Linked DNA regions of Drosophila melanogaster. Changing the gene in region 3 together with the main gene of any one other region gives a genetic interaction. Each region holds a gene or a part of one and is shown on either strand. Other genes may lie near its edges.

Evidence for each region.
Region 1: of trp (region 3) and rdgB, changing one suppresses a phenotype caused by changing the other (phenotypic suppression), as found in Drosophila melanogaster (one study listed by BioGRID).
Region 2: of trp (region 3) and rdgA, changing one suppresses a phenotype caused by changing the other (phenotypic suppression), as found in Drosophila melanogaster (2 studies listed by BioGRID).
Region 4: of trp (region 3) and Calx, changing one suppresses a phenotype caused by changing the other (phenotypic suppression), as found in Drosophila melanogaster (3 studies listed by BioGRID).

The regions. Positions count from the first base shown.
Region 1 is NC_004354.4:13,761,119-13,765,765, reverse strand, and holds the start of rdgB (retinal degeneration B), read right to left. Parts: upstream 3,015-4,647; 5' UTR 2,821-3,014; intron 2,698-2,820; exon of another isoform or gene 2,655-2,697; intron 1-2,654. UniProt on the Drosophila melanogaster protein: Catalyzes the transfer of phosphatidylinositol (PI) and phosphatidic acid (PA) between membranes. May control phosphatidylinositol concentration in transport vesicles from the subrhabdomeric cisternae (SRC) to the rhabdomere.
Region 2 is NC_004354.4:8,923,367-8,928,198, reverse strand, and holds the start of rdgA (retinal degeneration A), read right to left. Parts: upstream 3,016-4,832; 5' UTR 2,503-3,015; intron 1-2,502. Other genes in the region: CG43255 (uncharacterized protein), read right to left, coding at 3,825-4,232; CG12661 (uncharacterized protein), read left to right, coding at 4,581-4,832. UniProt on the Drosophila melanogaster protein: Required for the maintenance of phospholipid turnover within the photoreceptor.
Region 3 is NT_033777.3:29,914,254-29,922,183, forward strand, and holds trp (transient receptor potential), read right to left. Parts: upstream 6,037-7,930; 5' UTR 5,811-6,036; coding exon 5,662-5,810; intron 5,604-5,661; coding exon 5,366-5,603; intron 5,305-5,365; coding exon 5,162-5,304; intron 4,775-5,161; coding exon 4,573-4,774; coding exon of another isoform or gene 4,564-4,572; exon of another isoform or gene 4,553-4,563; intron 4,479-4,552; coding exon 4,302-4,478; intron 4,135-4,301; coding exon 3,900-4,134; intron 3,845-3,899; coding exon 3,546-3,844; intron 3,489-3,545; coding exon 3,121-3,488; intron 3,060-3,120; coding exon 2,702-3,059; intron 2,387-2,701; coding exon 2,167-2,386; intron 1,956-2,166; coding exon 1,790-1,955; intron 1,735-1,789; coding exon 1,574-1,734; intron 1,515-1,573; coding exon 1,360-1,514; intron 1,300-1,359; coding exon 343-1,299; 3' UTR 268-342; downstream 1-267. Other genes in the region: Capa (capability), read right to left, coding at 1-4. UniProt on the Drosophila melanogaster protein: A light-sensitive calcium channel that is required for inositide-mediated Ca(2+) entry in the retina during phospholipase C (PLC)-mediated phototransduction.
Region 4 is NT_033777.3:20,976,610-20,981,213, reverse strand, and holds the start of Calx (Na/Ca-exchange protein), read right to left. Parts: upstream 3,032-4,604; 5' UTR 2,094-3,031; intron 1-2,093. UniProt on the Drosophila melanogaster protein: Na(+)/Ca(2+) antiporter that couples the energy of a Na(+) electrochemical gradient to the movement of Ca(2+) against an electrochemical gradient across a membrane, which contributes to the regulation of cytoplasmic Ca(2+) levels.

The DNA.
Region 1 (4,647 bases), on a different chromosome or scaffold from region 3:
AAAAAGAAGCTTTTGATATATGTAATTATATTATGGCATAGTTTCATTAGTTTGTAGTTATATATGGTTTGATCCTAATAAGATCTGGATAGACATTGTTGGGGAAATGGGGGAGGGGGCGGGATGTTCTAGATGCTAAAATAAGAGGCACAATAAAGGAGGGCCGTCAATCAATAATTATTGGGCACAGCGGGCAGTGGGGGAAGGGGAAACGAACACAGACATGCACATGTTTATGTCATGGCAGTTACATGGCAGGCCGTAACGAATCGTAAGCCCCAACAATATGGCCACCGCTTTAGGCCCCCTTCCCCCTGCCATGCCACGCCCCCTTTTCGCCTAGCACTCTCCACCCCCCGTTAGCCTCCACACATCACCATTTTTCTGTTTTTTTTTTTTGCCTCCTTAGCATAATTACATTTTGTGACACAGAAAATGCGCCAACAGATTTTCTTTGCTACACTGGGTCAAAGGTTATCGAAAGTGTGTCCTATATATAAGAAAAACAGATAATTTCATAACGAAAACATGTATCTTCCACTGTTTTAAAGTTGTGAAACAACTTTTTTGGTGTAAAAAATTTCTGTTAAGCTAGCGAAAGTAACAATGTGCAGTTAGCACTATATGAAGAATGCTAGGTTTTGTTTACAACTGCAATTACTTTTCCCAATTTAATATTCATATGTATGTACATTTTTACGACTTTTAGAGAACACAAGTAAAGTTCATATAAGAAGAAAGCACCTGCAGTTAAAAGTGATAAGAAATGTTAATATTCACGATGAGAAAAAACTTTGCAGCGATAAGATTTATTACAATGGAGCTTCCTTTATGGGGCTTATAAAAAAATGGACATTATTTACGATTCGCTTAAAGTCTTCTTATTTGGCGGGGGGCATTCGAGAAATCTAGACTAGAAAACACCTTTTTTTTTAAATGATATAGCAGCCCGGAGATGAAAAAGCGGCCCACTGTGCATCAATAAACAAATTACAAACGCACACATGTGCTGGCTATAAAAGATCCGGCCAAAGTGCACGTAGCCTTCAATGTGGTTGTTTATGATGTATTTTGTCATTTAAAAAATTTTTGTTTATGATGTGACCAAAGGGTAAAGCAAGGGTATGCACACGGAGAAAAGTAAGAGCAATATCACAAATATTTTCATTCATTAATATTATTAAAATATATTAACACAATGCACATTTTATCCATGTCCACTCTGATATTTAAATTATTTTTAAGATTGCTTGATATACTTTTCTCTCCGTGTAAAATCATAAGATGAAGATGGGTAAAATTCCACGCTTTTATGCACAAAACCATTTTTGTTATTAAGTCTGCCAGACAGAAGCTCAAATAGTGAAAATAGAGGAAATAAATTTGCGCAATTGTTGCAACATCAAAAACGCCAAACTGATAAATAAATTGCCATGGTAATTGACCAAGCAATACAATAAAAAAAAAGGTGTAGAAAAATGTGCAAAAAAAGGTAATAAAACGAAGAAAAGCAACAACAACAGAAAACGCACTCAAGCGGAAATAAATGAACGCGAGACAGAGACAGAAATAGACGGGTTGGGATGCAAAGAAAGCAAAGGTTGAAAGAAAGCCTATTAAATCCGAGTCTCAAGTTTAGTGAGCTAAATTAGACGGAAAAGAGCAAGAAAAAAAGGTCACGTACTCTCTCTTTGGCTCTCACCCACTCTCCCCGTCTCGCTCACTCCTTCGTGCACACCTGTGGCACGCTTTGTGCTTATTAATAATTTATAAATACAATAAGCAGCAAAAATAAGAACACAACAAACGTATTTCTTGGGTTCATCTCAAAAAGGGCCTATATAATAATATTTATTTTGTACAAAGATATCTTTTATAGACTCATTTATGAAAAATGTACATTCCTAAAAATATTAATCATAGGAAATTCATAATTTCTAAGATTAAAGACTTTTTTTCAAAAACCAATGGTTATAAATTCCAGAGCAGTGCTTTCGAATAAATATTTTTATTTTTCATCTGAGTTAAGTTCCTATTTTTTTAGTATAATGAAATGTGTAAAAAATTATTTATGGAACATTAACCAAAAAAAGTTATTTTTTATGAACTCATAATGAAAACATTTCTAACAATATTATTCTTAAGAAATTTATCATTTTTAGATTAAAGCATTTTTTTAAAGAAATAGTTATAAATTAATATTTTTATTTTTAATTTGACTTAAATTCCTTAAAAAATACTTTAAAAAATCAATCATTAAGATGGCTATAAAAGACTTTTTAAAACGCTGAACTGTAATAAACTTTATCCGATTTATAAAAGTGCAAAAGTACCAAACATAACAAAACAAAGCTTTACGTGAAAATTACGCATGGAAAATTCTTATCACAGACTTGTTGTTGTTTGTAAAAGAGAGCAAAAGCGTGAAACAGGAAGAGCGGTGGGAGAGAGCTAACGGGACCTTGAGACCTGGCCACAGCCAACACACACACACTTACACAAACGCGACGCAGCTTACGCATTTACGCAGCTGCCACCCACACACACACACACACGACAACCGAAGTATCCTTAACTAATTTTACGAATTTTGTTGTAAACTATTCCATTTGTTACAAACAAAGGTGAAAAAAGAGCAGCAGTGGAAAACGTACCAACTTTCGGCGGGCCAACTCACATTATTATCATTGCGGGCAGCTGGACAATTAACAACAAAAGAGTAAGGTCCAAAGCGCAAAGGAGAAAAAAAAACAACGAACAACGCACAACAAAATATAAATATACAGTGGATATATGCTGACTCGATTGGGCGATTAATACAATTTATCTATTCATTTTCTTCGGGGCGCTTTTCCAGGCCGCAGATGAAAAATGTTTTCAGCGTTGTTGCTGCTTGCCTTGCGTTTGCTTATTTCTTTTTGCAATCAAAACGTACACACTGAAAAAAAAACAGCGTGCGCTGCGCGGCGGCAAAGTTGCGATTGCGACTCGGCTCGCGTTTGATTCCGAACTGAAGTAAGATGAACCAAACCGAAATGAACTGAACGGAACGCCGAACGCTGAACTGAACGAACGCCGAAAAGCAAACGAAGCTAAAGCAAAAGCAAAGCCAAGAGAAATGAGCGGAGAGAGCGAGGCGTTCCGAAAATGAGTATCACCGCAAAATCGCCAGACTCATAAAAAGTATACTAGTATATACATAAATACATATGTATGTATGTACATATTTGCAATCTGGATAATTTTTGCTTAGATATTAAAAAACTATTTCTACATTACATATACATACATGTTTTAAGTACATTTTAGAAAAGGACTATTTAAGGACTAATTAAATAACAAAAAAGTTAAAACGCCACCGTTTCTGAAAACGGTCAGTTCAGTTCTCAATTCTCAACTGACGATTCGCGGAAAACCCCTTACTTTATTTGTGCGCAACAAAAGCGCGCGAGAAAGCGTCACTCTCACTCTCTTTGCCTTTCTCTCCTTTTGCGGGGACACTCAGCTGGCTAGGCTGAAAAGGGGGGGTTTCGTAAATTGGATTTATGCATATCGGCCAATGAATAATATACAGTAATTTCTGCAAGAAACTCGGATGGCCAGAACCCCACAAAATGCCAACGTCCCGGCGTCCTTGTGCGCTCTCTTCTGGAGAAAAGCAGCGAGAGCAAGAGCTTGCCAAGCCCAAAAAGAAGAACAAACGCTGAAGGGCAAATAGTGAGAGAGAGAGAGAGAGAAGACGCTCTAAGTGTACGGTAAGAAGATAAGCTTAACGGCGCATTCCGTTCGGTCAGAGTCAAAGCAAACATGTCACGACATGCACAAACAAAAGACGCCAACTGTTGTCATTCCGCTCCTGTCACTCCAGCTCCCTATCTCGCTCTATTTTCGACTCTGCTGTTTTCGCTGCCCTTTCTAGTTTGTCTATTGCATTTGATAAAGTTCAACTTTGACATTTACACCGCGCATGTCCCAAAACTGTAAGGAACAATTGAGTTTACACAGGTTGCCCAGTGATTTTTGAACGAGTAGTCACTAACGATAAACCGAATGCAAATTTTAATTGAGTGCACATCAAATGGCAACGGACACTAGTTGCCTCACTCTCACTTCCGCCCACTCAATGCATCCATCTCCTTGTGCGTATTTCCATCCCAACTTCGCAATCCTGTTAAGCATCTAGGGTGCTAGTAAATACCAAGCTGCACAGTTTTCTAAATTTTGATTTTTATGAGTTATTCCTAATTTCTTTTCAGTTTATTTATTATCTACATTTTCTTTCGTGTACCTTTCATTAGGTATCATAATTGTATTTTAGGCACTTTTTGTTTGCTTTATTTATCGTGTTGTTTTTTGGTTAAGCATCTGCTTAAGATCACCTGTGATATATGCATTTATCTTTTTATTATTAGCTCATTTAAGTTGTTTGGCCGATTTACTATGTTAAATATGTATATTTTCGGAAATTTTTCTATTTACTTCAGAAGGGGTGCCTAAAAATGTGCCCAGCAAATTCTTGTGTGTGTTTTTTAATACCATAAAAGTTAGAATCCAATCCAGAATAACCATTGCTATTGCTATTAAAAAACTTGACTTTTCGAAAATTTGCAGCTTTTATTTTTATGGGATTTTATAGATTTTTCTTTT
Region 2 (4,832 bases), on a different chromosome or scaffold from region 3:
AATTATTTAGTTTTAAAAGGTGGGCAATCGAAATTATTTAGTTTTAAATGGTGGGCAAACGTTTTTTATTGGAAATTTTTATTTTAAAGAGGTGGGCTAAGGAAATTGGTTGTATTTTAAATGTGGGCAATCGAAAAAAAATTTTTGTTAAAGGTTTTTTAAAGGGTGGGCAAACGATAAAAACTAATAATAATGGTTGGGCAAACGTTTTTTGTTGATAATATTTGGTTTTAAGAGATGGGCAAACGATTTACTCTCTGATTAGACCGAGGTAAACTTAAAAGCCTTATATTTTCTAAAGTATAAATTTTTTCAAAATTCTAAAGGGTGGGCAAACGTGGGCAAACGATGTTATTGCGATTTAAAAAAAAAAATTTTGAAAAAAGCGAAATTTTTGATTTTCGAAAATTTTCGAACTTTTTCGAAAATTCATATCTCAAAAACTGGACGTGGGCAAAAAAACTAATTGGTGGGCAAACATGGGCAAAAAATGGGCAAACGATTCCAGCTTTCAAATTTCAAAAATTCGATTTTTCCGACCCCAGCTTCTTTGAGCTACCTAAACTGCCACACACAACAATGATTGATTGTGGAAATTTTTGTGGGGGTAAAAAATGGTGAATAAATTACCACACTGGTTGGTAATTGGTTTGGTTTGCAATGCAATTCCATTCGATATTGAAATTCCCAAAAATTGTTCAAATGGCAATTTCTATTAATTAACACGGTGCTTTTGGCAAAGGAAACACCCTTACAAATGGATATACAATCTGCAATCAAAATGCGATGCATACGTGTTTCCCCCTCGTTGCTGTCAAATAGCCCGCGGTATCTTTCGACCATTTTCATTCTCTTTTCTGTTTTTTTTTTTTTCTTCTTTTTTTTGTATTTTGTTTTCAATTTTTATGTGTATTTTTATTGGATTTTATATGCGAACCCAACCCCTGGGTCACGAATAAAAAAAAAGCGACAAGAAATGAAAATTGAATATTTTATGTGAAGCGAAGCAAACAAGAGCAAACAAAAAATTGTGGATCAACAATTGAAACATCGCGTTTTTATATGTACGCAAGACAAATGGGTAGCAATTTCTTTATTTCAGAAACAAACAAAGTCGCCTAAAACAAAAATCTTTAAACCATTTCAAAGCGCACACATTTATTATTACAAATATGTGCAGGCTTCATTCATGTTTATACTTTGGTGATTTAAAATGTAAATTCTTCGTATTGATTAAAAAAAAAATATATAAATTTAAAGTTTCCTTAGAGAAATTTAAATTGTATATTTACACTTGGTTACCGCGACGAAGTGCCTTCGTCGTTGAATGCAAACTTGAGGACAACAAACGAGCGGAAGCACAAACACAAATGCCACGTATACGCCACGTTGTCTGACATTTTCCCCTGTTACCGGGGAAATGCGAAATCAAAGATTGCCAACCGCACAGAGTGCCGCCTTTCGCCATTACGTTATTTTCGCCATTTCGCGCTCTTATGTCAGAGAAAAGCCGGTCACGCGCCAATACAAGAGCTGCAACATCCTCCAGCATGCAGTTCCTTAAACGCACCGATTAGCAAAAGGACACGTACACGAAGGATGCGTGTGCGGATGTCGTTGCGGATGCCAGTGCGGATGCGAATGTGGCAACAAGTTCGGCTAACGAGACTGGCTGGCCGACAAGAGCACACCCAAATCCTTAACCGGAGTGGCCTAAAAAAAACCTAAACCGCTCGCTTTGGCCAGCAATTTTCAATGAATGGCATCGTTTAATACAATTGCCCACACGGCGTATGCGTAACGAGTTTGTTTCGCCGTGTTTTTGCCGAATTTCGAACCGAAATTGCAGACGATTTTTCATTAAATCATCTTATTGACACACAGACATTCGAAAGTAGGGGGATACTCTGAGACAATGAGAATGTTGGTAATTGAATTTATACAGAATGAAAAGCAAAGGGCATTCCACGGAATTTTATTCAAAATTACACATTGTTGCACACATATTTGTGGAGCCTAAAAAGAGCTCGAGCTTTAAATAATTTTTAAAAAATTACTGCTTTAAACTAAGATATATTAATATATTCAAGCAATTCGAGTCAACTATTTTACATCTGTGGAATTTTGAAACTCTTTGTAAACTATAAAATCCGATTATATTTTATGATATTCCAAAAAAACTCATCAAATTCAACACAACAAGCTGAGAACCGAATTCTTGATAATTTCCATGCGTGATTCTATTAACTGAAGCATACAATACAATATTCTGTGGAGCTTTTCCTAAAACTACGAATATTTGCCAAAAATTGTAGCTGAAACTTTAAATAAATCTGGGAATCCCCATTTGAAGACTAAATATAAAAACATTTCCGAAAAATCACAATACAAACACGCTGCTCACAATCACACACGGCAAATAAACTCTCACATCACGAAATTAATCAACAAATTTTCCAAGGAAATTTTTCAATGAATTTCAATAAGTATATTCATATTTACCGTTTCGGTTTGCCGCTTTAGTTTTTCTTTACAATGGAACGCACTTTTCAGTCGTTCGAATCAAGTCAAAATTTCGTGCACATTTTTGCGTGCTTTTACACGTTAACAGTTAGGATTCAAAAAGCACAAAAACTAGATCTTAGTCTTACATAGTTTTAAGTTTTAAGTTTGTATCGTAGCTTATATTTCAAGTATTGAATAAATACTTTGGAATATCTTTGAATATTTTCGAATATTTGTACAAGTTAATATTGGTTTAGCACAACACTTAGAAGCACAATCAAAAAAATAGTTACTTTATATTTAGATATTGTAAGTTTTTCAGTATGTTTATGTTTTTCTTATGGTATGCGATGTTTTTGTTGTGTTTTGGGCGATGTTGGTGTTTTTTTTTAAGAACTTGGTAGTTCCAGAGAGTTTTGGTATTTTGCTTTGAAATGTTTGGCCTGCTTGGGCTGTTCTGCTATTTAAATGAGTTATTTATTTCTAGAACAACGCGCCTCGTCGACCGTTCAAATGAAACTGATGCGAAGGCGACGCATTGCCAGGAATATAAAGCGACCGGGAGCGAGAGGGCGCTATTGAGCATAAGCGCGGGAGCGAGCGAGAGGCCAGCAATCGGCCGGCAACTTCGGCTGTGGTCGGCAAAAGCCGAAGTACTATAAACACCTGTAAGCAGCCTTCGATGCCGGCGAGAGAGCGAGAGGGAGAGAGGGAGGGAGGGAGAGAGAGAGAGCGAGAGCGAGCAAGCGAGCGAGTGGCCGTATCGTTCTCACTCCCTCACCCTTTGCCGCCCAACGCCCACATACTCCCGCTCGCCCCGTCTCTGTCTCACACCCTCTCTCGCTCTCGCTCTCTCTCTTTCGCGCTCGCATTCGGAAGCGGAAGGAAACTCAACAGTTGGCACATTATTGAGTGGAGAGAGGAGCGGAGAAAGTAGAGCGGAGAAATGGCGAGAACTGCGGAGAAAGTGCGGGCGGCAGCGCTACTCTTTGTTTTTGTTGTCGCTGTTTGTTGCCATCAAATTTATGGCAATCATTTGTGCGGTGTTTTAAGTTGGTCCAACACAAGTGCCCAAACTATCGATAATTATCGAGAGAGAGAGAGAGAGAGAGAGAGTGATGGCGTGTGAGGGCGATGGAGGAAGTAAGGGATTAGAATAATCCAAACGATTATCGTAATGATATTGTTAGCTATTAGCAATCAGATTGTTTGCAATATCTAAAACAATTTAAATAAACGATTTTATGGCATTAATTATCGGTATAATCGGCAATATTGTTATCGATCAATATCATTCCTAACAACAGGAAGAAAGCTGCTTATATTTTTTTGAAAAATATTAAATCGAAGAAATCTTCAAGGAAATCATTGGTCTCATGTTCGGTGTCGACCTCGTCGAGTAACTTCTTCAATCTTCGTAATAGATCCTTGTCCTTTTCGAGAGTATCCAACAGTTGTTCAGCATCGCTTTTTAATAAGCCCAATTTACGTAGTAAACGTATCACACGCCTTTCAAATGGCGTAAAGGACTGACGTTTGAATCGGTTGTATCTCTGCGGCAGCTTCAAGGATATCTTGTGTTGTACAAATTCCACAGAATTCTCTTTATGTTTAGTAGTCGTTAGCTGCTCCTTAGATATCCCGTAGAATTCCTTATCACGACGTTCAAGGCTTAATCCAAAAGCGGCCAAAAAGACCAAGAGCCCAAAGATATGCAAGTAATGCATTTTTAAAAACTATGCACGGCCACGTTGTCCAACTTCTACTTATATACACTTTCAGTAGTGCACTTATCAGCAAAAAACAAATTAACTCAAACTCAATTAGAGATAGCTTCACACTGAGTTATGTCAATGCCGTGACTTTAGTTTAAAAATTTGCCCAAGAAGAGTCAAGAACATGACCTAACTTACTTAACACTGCGAGTCGCCCATTTCCTGCTCATATATTATTTAAATTGAAGAAATTATTACAAAACCAAAGTAGCATTGCGTTTTGCGTAACTCAAATAAGGGCAGTCAAACGAAAATTACCAACCGACTTTTATATTTTCCATAAATTTTATACTACTCGAGATGGATTGTGACAATTCGAGTTTGGAGGAGAAGCGAGAACGCGTTGACAATGCAATCCTAACCGCCATGGAGGATCTGGATCGGGATTATCTGCGCAAATTGCAGATCGAGATGCACAGATGTGCGACCGCCTGTTGTGCGGATGCGGACGCGAATGCGGAGGCGGTGGAGCGGTGCATCGATCGCTGCCAAATCCGTTTGACCCGATCACGCTGCTTCGTACAGCAGGGTATATCCGATTTTGAGAATCGC
Region 3 (7,930 bases):
TCATATTTGCAAGACTATTTAGGACGAAACACTGGCTTGGCGAATATGTTTTTCGGTCTGATGTTATCCTCGGAACGGTCACGGTTCTTCTGATTCCTCTGGTCGAAGTTCACGTTCTTTTATAGGCCAGAAAAGCAGGCGGATGGATGGCAGACAAACAAATTGCCATCGGAACAACGGGGCGGATGATGAATGTTGCTGCGATGCAAATGAGATGTTGCTGGCAACAGGTGGCCTTTAGCAACAAGTTGCAGAAACGTGGTACTTGAGATTCTTTTTTTTTATTATTCACACAAACAAAGGACTTAACTATTTAATTGCTATGAAAGTGGATTCCGCGGCTTAGAGCCAGCCGGAGATCATGCGTCCTGTGACCGTGGATTTGCCTCGTTCTCCGCCAGCTGCGGCACTGCTCTGACCCACCTTGATCGCCGGCTTCAGAGGAGCTGCTGCTGGCTTCTTGTCCTTGTCATCGGCAGGCTTCTTGTCCTTATCATCGCTCGGCTTCTTGTCCTTGTCGTCACCCGGCTTCTTGTCCTTATCGTCTCCCGGCTTCTTGTCCTTGTCATCGGCTGGCTTCTTATCATTATTGTCAGCAGGTTTCTTGTCTTTGTCGTCGCCAGGTTTCTTGTCCTTATCGTCGCCGGGTTTCTTATCCTTGTCCTTGGCATCGTCTCCTGGCTTGGAGTCTCCTGCAGCCTTTTTTGGCTCCTCCGGACCGCTCTTCTTTTCGTCCGGCTTGGAGGCCCCATTGGTTGCCTTAGTTGCTTCTGGTGCTCCAGCTGCTCCAGGTTTCAGTTTGGAATCCGGCTTGGCATCCGAAGGAGCGGAGGGAGCTGCGCTCTTGGCTGCTCCATTTGTGGCTGCCGGCTTGCTAGCTTCGGTCTTGGAAGACTCCTCCTTTTTGGCAGCGGCCTCGGGCTTGGCGGATTCTCCAGGCTTCGGCGCAGCAGGCTTGGTGTCTCCAGGTTTGGTTGGTGGTGCCGGAGCGTCCTTCTTTTGTGACTCACCGGGCTTGCTGATAGTGCCAGCTGCTTGGGGCTTTGGAGCTCCCGCACCCGGAGTTGGCTTCTGATCCCCGGGCTTGGGACCACCTGCTGACGGCTTGGAGTCCTTGGGAGGCTGCTGCTTATCCTTATCATCACCTGCTTTCTTGTCATCCGTTGGCTTGCCCATCGTGCCGGGCTTGCCATCGGCTCCGGATTTTTCATCCACATTCTTAACCGATGCTCTTAGAGCAGCTGCAGCCAACATAGAAGCTCCTCCTCCAGTTCCACCACTAGTTATGGACTTTTTAGACTGCAAGTGAGATTATATATTAGCCAGGGAATACATATACATATATTGATTGGAACGTACCCCAGAGGCATCCAGTGGCTTCTTTTCGCCTTCGCCATTTGGAGCACCCTCGTCATCGGCCAAGGAAACCTCGTCGGCAGCCATCTTCTTCCGCATGAACTTGACATAAGCCACTCTTGTGGCACGCGTCACATCACCCAAGTTGGGATTGAATTCTGGAGGAGATCAAGGGTATGGAAATATACATACATTGGGCACATCTTTATTAATTTACCAATCAACTGGGTCTGGTTCATCTGAAGACCCTCATTCGCCTGCTCGATGATCTTCCTCCTCAAGCTTCGCTGGCTATGACGTTGCATGGAGGAGCGCTTGGAGCCAATGGGATCGGAGGCGAAAGTATTCTTCCTCGCAATGGCGTTCCAATCCTTGTCTCTGTTGAGAATAATAACCATTATTCAAAGCGTCTTACAGATTTAAGTGGACCTACCCCTTCTGGGTCTTCTTTCTGCCGATGACCTTGGCCAGCGATGAGAATATATCTCGTCCGCTCTCAGATTCGCTCATTTCCTGCTTCAGATTCTCGACGAAGCCGATTTGGAAGTCCTTAAGGATGCGACGTTCCATCACCTTGCCCTTGGTGGTTCGAGCAACTCCTTCAAAAGTAAGTTTAGTGAATAAAATCCATTAAAATCCATTCTAGCTTTGTAGTCTTCTAGCACAACATATTTCAAATTAATATTCAAGATGGGGTGAACTTTATTAGGTATTCAAAAGCTAATTGTAAATAATTATTCATATATACTGCTACTTCTATCTTAAGACACGTGTAAGTTGCCAATTTGGATGTGGGTAGGCTTCCCTTACCCTGCGACTTCTTCTCAATGTCGGGTACATCCCAGTTATTGTTGGTGAAAATCTCCAGCAACTCGAACCGCAAGGAGCTGATGTCCTGGCGCACCTCAATGATATCATCCTCGGTAATGCCGTAATCGTCCCGCCGCCTCTGCTCCGCCGTAATGTACCTCCTGACCAGCAGCTTCATCACTTTGTCATGCAGCGTCTGTGCCCGTTCCATGGACTTTCGCTGGGAGTTGGAACAGGGAGCATTAGAGGGTGGAAGGACACAGAAAGGATGTATTAGACGTCAATTTGACGCACAGATAGCTCTGCATGGGCTTGATTGAAAATGATTTCGCTTAAGATTTGTATTGATTGTGAGCCGCCTCTCACTGTGAGGTGATTCAACTTGAAAAAATCGAACTTTCGAAATGTTACTTACATTTAAAAGTAATATGATAAGAAATATCATTTAAAAGTAGAGTACACTGAATTTAATATATATGTGTGGATTTGTATAATACTTAAACTGAAATATTGAATTTCTCTGAGTGTAACTTACCATGAAGCTCTTGGTTCGTGACGGTCGCTTTCGGCCCAGGGTCTTCCTCAACATCTTCATGTTGGGACAGAGGTTGAAGGGCGGTGGAATGGTGCCGCCATCCTCGAAGTAGCTCATCCACAGCTGGGATCGGGCGAACTTCCACTCAGTGTCGGCTCGCTCCGAGATGATTTGGTAGGAGTTGGACATCATGGCAATCAGCATGTTGAGAAGCACAATGATGTTGATAACCGAATAGGAGCCGAACATTAGCAGTGCCCAGAAGCGGGTGAAGCTCTTGATTCCCGCCAGATCGAAGGAGACCAGGTCCACCAGGCCAAAAGAGGCCCAAAAGAGCGATTGTGATGTTTCGAATAAGCTAAAGTAAATTGAAATGGGATGCCAATATGATAAAGTACATAGAAATGAATGTAATATACTTGGAAAATCTTCGCCAGATGGTACAAGCCTTCTCCTGGTCATCAAAGTCAGCCACATCGGGATGCAGGTGATAGCACTTGTTCTTCTCCAGCTCAGCGTAGTACCATAGCAACTGGTTGAGACCACATCCGAAGGCAAACAACACCAGTGTGTAGATGAAGAAGAACTTGATGATGTCGATTATCATGCGACCCAGTGAAACTTGCAAGGGTCCCAGGTGGGGATTAATGGAGAAGATGTGGACGAGCTTTAGATAGGAGAAGACCATTCCGGCAGCAAAGGCGCCCTCTGATAGAAGCATTGGATCAAACGGATGCCAGTGTTCCCTTGGGAAGTAAGGATCTATGCCCCGGAACCAGAGATCACGCTGAAATCAATTCGTTTCAGTAACTCCAATTTATTCATTAGATTCATATGGACTCACATGGACGATTACCCAAGCGGTGGCCCTACAAAGAATCCACGTCACATAGAACATGTTCGATATGTAGTCCACTATGTTCCAAAGATCCATGATGTACTCAAACAAGCCGTCCGAATATAAAGATTTCAGTTCCTCAAATATTAGAGCCATTATGTAGGTAATGATTGCCAGTTCAATGGGACCCGGTAGTGAACCTCTCTCGTGTTTGCGCCAATCCTCCAGCATGGTCAGCATCCAGGGAAATGCGAGGAGTTCAAAGGTGATTTGCACCACCCTCAGGGAGGCAGCACCCAGGAGCACTGTGAATGGGCGCATATTTAGATGGATGAAGTGTTAAGCACCCACTTTACCCACTCAGGAAGAACATGTAGGAGCAGGAGTGCGTGATGAACTTGACAAAGGGCTTGCGCATGAACTTGGCACCCTCGGAATCCGGGGCCAGGATGTACTTCAAGCTGTAGATGGGGAAGCTGCATCCCAGCTTCACGACATCCATCAGCTGCTGGGAGGCCTGCTTGCGCCGGAAGCCCGGCAGTCCGTCGTACCAAATGGCGGCCAACAATTGTTGGACATTTGGATGTGCCACAAACTAGAAGGGGGAGTAATGTTTATAAATTCAAGCAGGGTACTAAGATCCGTTTCTATATATAAAGCTATTAAATCCCAGTTGGTCTGTGGTGGATTAGGCATGGGTATCTAGCCACAAGCTTGTAACCTTCACAGTTCCTTAATGTGCACGGATTAGTCCGAACCCACCGTTTTTTGCTTATAGCGAATGGCCAGCTTCAGTCGTTCCAGGGTTTGCCGCTGGCCAAGGCACCAGATGTCGTGGGACGGCTCGTGGTTGAAGTTGAGCATCACCTCGAGTTCCATGGATGTGCGTGCGTGATCCAGGAGCGAGGTCCCGAAGTCCTGCACCATCTGACGCATCTCCTGTTGGGCAAACACAAACAAAGGCTCGCATTCGCATTCGCATAGACTCTAGTGGCACACTGGCCACCGCTTACATTGCACACTACTACCGTACCGTGTATTCGGCACGAAACTCCGATTCCATCGCCTGCAGGCGCTTGAGTTCCCAGGACAATTGGAAGGCGGTCAGTACAGGGTCCCGGGAGCTGAGCGCTATCAGCGAGCTGGCGGACAGGGCGCGGTATGCGTTGATCCTCGACTGCGAGTGGCGCAGGGAGTCCGTCATCTGGGAGGTCACACACTCATCGCAGCCGCACCTAGAAACAATTGAGATTAAGCGATGATATACAAAGTGTACGGAACCCAAGAGTTCTATAATAATAAATACATTTAAATCAATCTGAAAGGAGTACAAAGGACCTTCTCTCCTAGCAAGGACATTTATGACGCTGTTAAAGGCTTGAGTCCATTGACCCAATTTAAGAACATTCAAGGACCTGCTCTTCCCACACACAACATTACACCCTGTATTAATATTTCACCCTAATTTGCCCGCAATTATCTAAAATTAGAGGCACCCAGCGATGTGCTACATAAGTGTGTTGCCAATTGGACAAACAATGGAACGTGCCGCTCGAAGGACGAGGAAGCTCACTACATAGCCATATCACCGAGCAACTGCATCCCTACACCACCCCACTCACTTGACGTCGTGCGGCATGGGCAGCGTGGCCCCGCGATCCAGGAGGATTTTGAGTATCTCGTAGTTATTTCGGTGGGCGGCCAGGATAAGGGGCGTGATGTCCACGGTGAAGGTGGACTTGGAGCGGTCCACCGCCTCCCAGCTCTGCCAAAGGAGGGGAAAAGAGTAAGAGTTGTGGCATATTCTGCGGCAGGATGTGACCTACGTATGGCTGGCCCTCCTTGTGGTTGGTCTCCTCCCACTGCAGCAGCTCCTCCACCGCCTCCACATACTCCTCCGAGATGGCGTGCAACAGGGCGTCGCCCACCTCGATGTTATGCTCCAGCAGGATCACCATCAGGTCGAAGTTCTCGTTCTCGATGGCCGAAATGAGGGCGGAGCGGTTCATGGGATCCGTGCAGTTAATGTTGAACTTGTCCGTGCCCTGGTACTCCTCGAGGATCCTTCAAGGACGAAATCATATTAGCCGAGTTACTCGAAGCCATAGGGAGGAAGCCTCACTTCTTGACACCTGGCAAGTCACCCCGCTCGCAGGACAATATGAAATTCTTCTCCACATCGCTGAGGATGTACTCCTCGGCCATCATCAGGTCGTAATCCAGGCGAGACCCCAACGCCTTCTCGGCATCGGATTCCGTATTGCTGCCCATATCTGCACTGATTTACTGGTCTATGCGAACGCGATTATCAGGATCGGATCACTCGGTCACTTCACATCTCACAAACACTATGGGCATTTATCCCTGCTCCTCGGGGAGCCTTGGCGTAATCCTTTCGCGCACTGTATCCTTTAGTGTTCCATCGTGGCGATGTTCCGCCTCCAATTAGCCGCGTTGCACTGCTGAAAAGTGGCAGCCACGGGTCGCTATATTCCACTAATTACATTAGTGCCCAATGTGGCTAAAACTCGGTCAATGTGTGGGCGAACCCCGAGTCAATGGGCCCATTTGACCGCACTTCGGTAATTGTGGGGCTGCATTTGGAGGCAGCAACCGATTTTAGCGATTTCAGTTCAGGAATCTTTCGTCCATTTGTGGTTGCATTGCACGTGATGAGCGACTTTCGATTTTCGAAGCCCCAGCAACGGAATCGCACCACTTTTATGCCTGAAAATCCAAATCAATACTGCCCAGTGGGTTTATATGTAAGTGAAAAACAAAACGTGCTAAATGGAACAATATTATCTGCTTATATTTCGATGAAATGATGCATACAGTTGAGATATGAAATTAAATAGGTGTCTAATATTTTGTACCCAGCAATATAGATCAATGCCCAAAAAAAAAATACGCACTTTGCATACTTTTTGACACCTATTCAAGCCGAAATTCAAAGCTACTTAATATTCAAAAAGTAGCATGAGGGTGTTAATTTGCGAGTAAATAGGGATTCATGGACTTGGGTTCATATCCTAGAACTATTCACCGAGAAAAGCCCTTAAAAATAGGAGAAAATGCAAGCTTTTAAGCTTTTGGCTAACCAACAGAGCCGGAAAACACACCACACCTGCAGTTTACAGTCGAGTATCTACCGAATTGAAATGATTTCGAATGCCTTTTGGGCACTGGGTCAGTGATTCTGACTTTGTGATTGATGAATATTGATTAATCTGCATGGGAAGTGGGAGGGGGAGGTGGGGTGGTGTACATCTAAGACCCAACTCGTCCTTGGCAGCCGAGCGTCTTGAGCCTTGAATGTTGAATGTTGCTTACTTCAGGGCGCTCGCAGGGCTTTTGTGTGTCAATGCACTTGGAACTAAATGCCAGCTCCTGGCTAAAGGCGGAGAAAAGGAAAAGGAACAAGCCCACTTTCACGGAGCAGCCCTTTGAGATGAATGTGTGTGTTCGAAAGGTGGGGTTCAATGGAGCTCCGGGCGGAATGGCATCGTACGTGTTCAAGTCGTACGGGGTTTTTAGCGGGGCCAATGCACTCCACACTCCACTCGCATGGCTTCCAAGAGAAGAGGAAGGAAGTGATGGTGGCCCAAGGAATTTCAAAATTAAAGTCACAGCTGTCGAGGGGAACTCATTAAGTGCGAATTAATTAGAGGCCATAGCTGAAAATACCTGGATGGCATTCTCGTAATTATATAAAGGTACTCCTCATTACACAAATGTGGCTAAATGCACATTCTTCTTATAAGTTCCCATTAACTAAATGCTATGTTGGGTTTATACATGATTTTCTGCAGTGTACAACTGGGTTGCACTCAATGATTCATTGGCCTCCAACAAAACTCCTGCCTTATTTAGCTTTTAAGGACCCTTGTGAGTTATGTGCTCAGTTCTCCACGAGAAAAGCGAAAGAGCTCATTTTCCCTGGGTTTGCGTAGCAGGTTGCACTTTCACTGTCTCCCCACCGGAAACCGTCAAGATTGCGGGATAAAATTCATTTTATGGCCATCTGTATTAAAATTATATCTCTAAGCCCTCAACATGATCGTAAAAATCTATAGTATCAATGCTGATTTGCTTTATGGCACCGATAAGATACTTATGTGTTTAAACAAATTGAATGTACCCACGTAGAAAATGATTTTATGAATTGCATCCGATGAGTAGTATTTAACATTAAATTTATTGTATTTTTAACTGATTCGCAAATCATTGAACACTGATAAGTTTACGTTTTTTATATTGCTGTACAAGCCTCTGCGTTGTTTATTTTTTGTCTTTTTGCTCCTATGTAATCTGGATGACATTAATTTACTGCCCTCCAGCTCAACATATGGGTAGTTTGACACTTGGTCAAGATAAGACAAGGGACTTCT
Region 4 (4,604 bases), 8.9 Mb from region 3:
TACTGGGCGTATGCGCAATTTGATGCCCACATACACGGTAAATCTAACAGGAAAATATGTAAAGCGAAGCTGGGTGAATTTTTTTTTATTTATGCCTCGTAGCTGGAGATTTGTTACTGTCAGGACGTATGTATGATTAACTCTGCTGCAACGGAATCCTGCATAAACTCTACACTCGAAAGTATGCTTTTTGGGGCTCTATTTTTTCCGGAAGCACGGCAGCTGCTAAAGCTGCTGATTCTGCGCCATTGTGCGAAATGTTGGCTTCCAGTTGCCGTGGCCACAGCAACTGTAACTTTATTTCACCATTGTTGTTCAATTGGGTGAGGGGCTGGAACTTTCTGCTGGTTTCATGAATCAAACATGACCGAATCTTGTTACATATTTGCAGTTTTCTTCGTCGAGTTTCTTTTGTGTACACATGTGCGCGGTTTATTTTTTTGTTAGTTAGAAAAGTTGGTCGCCCCACACACCGAAAATGGAAAAAAGTAGAATTTTTCGCCACTGTTTGCGGCTGCTACGTATGCAAGGCCTAAGCTTTTGAGTGCCTGCCACTTTTCTCTAAGCCTTTAAAGCGCTGAATTTTCATCTGAGAGCTGTACTGCGGTTTGGCTGTGTGGTCTGTTGCTTTTAATTGACGGAGCCATAAATTAAATGAATTTTCCAAAATCTTGTTTCATCTGGATTTTCTGCATTTCGCTGAATATGCTGCATACTCAATTTTAAATTACCCGAGGTATTCCTCTTATCAGAATCAGAAAATCGAGCATTTTGAGTGCTTCGAGTCATGCTGATGTTGGGTACTTGATTAAGCTAGCTAGTTAATGGCTGCCATTTAGTTTGATTAGATATAAAGCCCCAAACTGAGTTCCATTGTAACTTGTGTCCAATTGACAAATACTTATGGGACGACCTTCCTTCATTCATTGGTCAGTGAAAAGGAGCCCCTTAACCGAGTGAATGAATAAATGGCTATTTATTTGTACAAAGGGAAACAAAGTGAACTCTAAACTGAAATGGTAAGCAAATGTCAGGCAAGTGAAGCGAATGAAAGCTTGAATGATATTGACAAAGGCAAATGCTACCACCCATCGTCCTATGAATGAAAAAAGAACTCAAGGGGCTGGCCGACTTGGGCAGGAGTCGCGGGTTTTTTGCTTTTCAATTGTTTACTAGTCTCCGTGTTGATTGTTTTCTTTGGTTCCTTTCTATGGATACCCTATCAGATGGCATGATACTTTAGGCACTGTCTACAGTATAAGCGAAAAATTTCATCTAAGCGGGACAGTAAAATATACTTCATATAAATAATCATTTGTGGTTTAATGCTCTGAAATCTGAAATCATAAGCCTAACGTTTTCTGGCGAAGTTCTTTACTTTTTCTTGGGAGTCTTAATATACTTTATATGTTCATATGGGAGACGTGCCTTTTGGAATGTTAACATTATATCCCTTACTGACATTCGTTTCTTACAGCGTGTAAGAATCAAAGCTAGGATGCCATACAGCTTTATTTATAGTTAGTTATATCCTCTACAGTAAATACATTTCCGGATCACAAGCCGAGTCGATCATGATCAAGAAAATATGTAACGCCCAGAATTTGAAAAATGATCCAAAAAAAGTCCATTGCAGTTATGGTATGTGATAGTCGAGAAAGCCCAAAAACCAGCTGTCCACAAGGGAACTTAAAACTCGAACTTATGCCGATGTCAACTGGATTCCCCATTTGCTTTTCTTTTCTTCTGCGGTGCTGCTCGTCTCTTGATACTCACAAAAGACTCAATTAGGCGTTAGACAAAGACGGTGGACATAGCCATATGCTGCTTGGCCCAGAAGTTGTCGCTAATTCGCAGACAAAGGGCGAACGAGGGGCCAGTGGGCTTAATCGATAGAAAAACGAAAATGGGAAAACAAACTGACAATTGTCACGGACTGCCCCCGTCCGTTGTCAAGGTAAGACCGCCCGCACTATTCATACTCACATACACGGGGCGTATGCGTAATGCCTTAGCCATACCGCACGGCACTTCACATGTGGCGTATGATTAAGTCGTGCTTGGGTAGAATGCGCCTAAAACGAATACATTACCGGCAATCGGAGATGGAGGCGCCAGTGTGGCGAGCTGCAGGATCCGCTGCCGATGCTGCTGACACAATTTTCGCCGCTGCAGAGCTGCAACTGCAGAATGGCCGCACACAGATGCACCAGATATAGATACAGATACACAGATACAGATGCACGAAGCTGACGCCGAATTTGCGAATTTCGAGCTTGACACGAACACCCGGAGGCTGTTGAACCGCACCGCTCTGAACTCTTTTGGCTAGTTTTGTAGGTTTATGCCGTTTTCGTGCACATCCTTTCCTTTTCTTGCAGCTTCCTTTACAGTTGCATTTTTTGCAGCGGCTGCTGCAGTCCGCGTTGCCAAAAGTGAAAAGAGGCGGCCGGCACGGCGGTCGGTGGTCAATGGTCAATGGTCAGAAAACAGGTTCAAAAGTCGGCGACCGCAGGCGCAGGTCCTGTGTGTGTGTGTTACGAACGGGTGTGTGTGTTTGTACCGCACAACTTTCCCAAAAGTATGCAAAGATATTTAGCCTAGTTTCGACTCTCCGACAGCATCGTTGTTGATTTTTTGCTGCACTTTCTTGGCATTTTCTTTCAATTCATTTTTGCTCTCAAATTAATTTTGAAAATTTATTTATGGAAGATCATTTCACTAGCTTTAAACACTGTTTTTGTTTTTATTGTTGACTGAAGCACAACAAACACATCAACAAATACCTACATATATTTCTGTATATATGTGTATCTGTGTATGTTTCGCTGTGTAGTAAAAATAGTAAAACGCTCGGCACTTAAAATAGGAGAAGCGCAGCGAAAAACCGTTTGCCGCTGTTCTCTTCTATTGTTGTTGTTATTGTTTTGGTTGCTTCTTTCGTTGTCGTTGTTGTTGTATTTACCGCTGCTGCGTGTGGAAATCACGGAGAAAACGTTACACGCTCAAACGCCGGATAATGAAAGACTAACCTGCGAGCCAGTAACCGACTGCCACATTGGCCGACTGCCTCTTTAAAAATGCCGATTGTCGCGACACGAAGGGCACCCGAAATGCACACGAAGAGTGAGAGTGGCGAGTGCGAGGGCGGTGAAAGCGGGACAGATAAGGAAGAAAGTGCACAGGATAAGGAACAGAGTGGCAGTGGAACACTGGCCAGGCGATAACAACTGCGCCGCTCTCTCTCGCTGTCGCTCTCCGATGTTCCCCATCTTCCTCTCGTTGCAGTGGCGCATTTCGCAGGGGGTGTAAAGGTTTGGCGGGGAGGGTGGTGTAGAGGCATTGCTGGTTAGTATAGCCCACACCCACACCCCCTCCTCTACCACCCGCTGTCTTAGACAAGCAAGCGCATAAGTTTTTGACGCCCCTGTTAAGTCGGTTGGAAACAAGTTGCTGTACTCTATGCTTGGAAAATAGTCTATTAACAATAAGCACCGTTAGGGAAAGTGATTACTAGCAGATCGGGGTGCAAAAAAATATAAATTTTCAACACCCAATAAAGGTTCACGTGGCCAAATCTTTTATTTCTGAAAATTGTATTGTTTTATAATTTCTTAAGCTTAAAATATGATATTATTCACGCGTTGAAGTACAGTATTGATCTCAACATATACATTTTATTTAAATATATATATTTATTTATATTCAAAACCAAATTTGAGAAGTACATCGCCAATTCCAACTCAAATTGGCTAGAAAGCTTTTGATCGCATTGAAGTCAGCTTTTAAAAATAACTTAATTGGTATGTGTTTTACCGGATAAATGGCTTTCCCCTGTATAATTTTGATTTAGTTGATTGCGCCTTTTTACTTGGCTCTCTATGCAGCATCACGCCTACGAACTTTTTCAAGTCACTTATGCATTTTATTTTAATACCTATACATATTTTAATACCGCGCCATAAAAACTTCACTTAAAAAGTTAAATAATAATATTTTGTAGTTTTTTTTTTCTAATTATAAATCAGTTTTCCTAATTTAAAGTAATCTTCTTCTCTTCTATTATTATAATTCATGTATTAAATCAAAGCTAAAGCAGCAAATTAAGGCAATCGAATTAAGCAATGAATTAACATTTTAGTACTCCCCATCTACGGTTGTGTAATATGCCTCTCTAAATAATCGTAGGGTATCACCGGGGCTTTAAAGGTGGAATTCCTTACGAATGTTCTTTTGACTATGGCGACTGCGTTAGAATTTGGGGACCTGGATGGCTCGGCGGTTCGGCTGCTGACGGGCCCAGAACTGCGAACCGAATGGCGAGCTGTGCGAGGCGTCGTAAAAATAAATAAGCAAAACGGAAATTAATAAGACCCAAATGTTGCCGCTGTCGCAACGACCTCCCCATGTTGCCCCTGAGAGACCTGCCGCGACAATAGCGTTAGCCTTATGGCCATATAAACGCAGCAATGGAAACAGCAGCAGCGAAAGCAGCAAAAGTAGCGAAAGAGAAGCAAACGCTGCACGCCATTGCTGTAAGTACAGTACAGTACAGGAACATGTGTGCCAGTGTGTGCGCTCACAACCTTTTGCTACCTTGTATT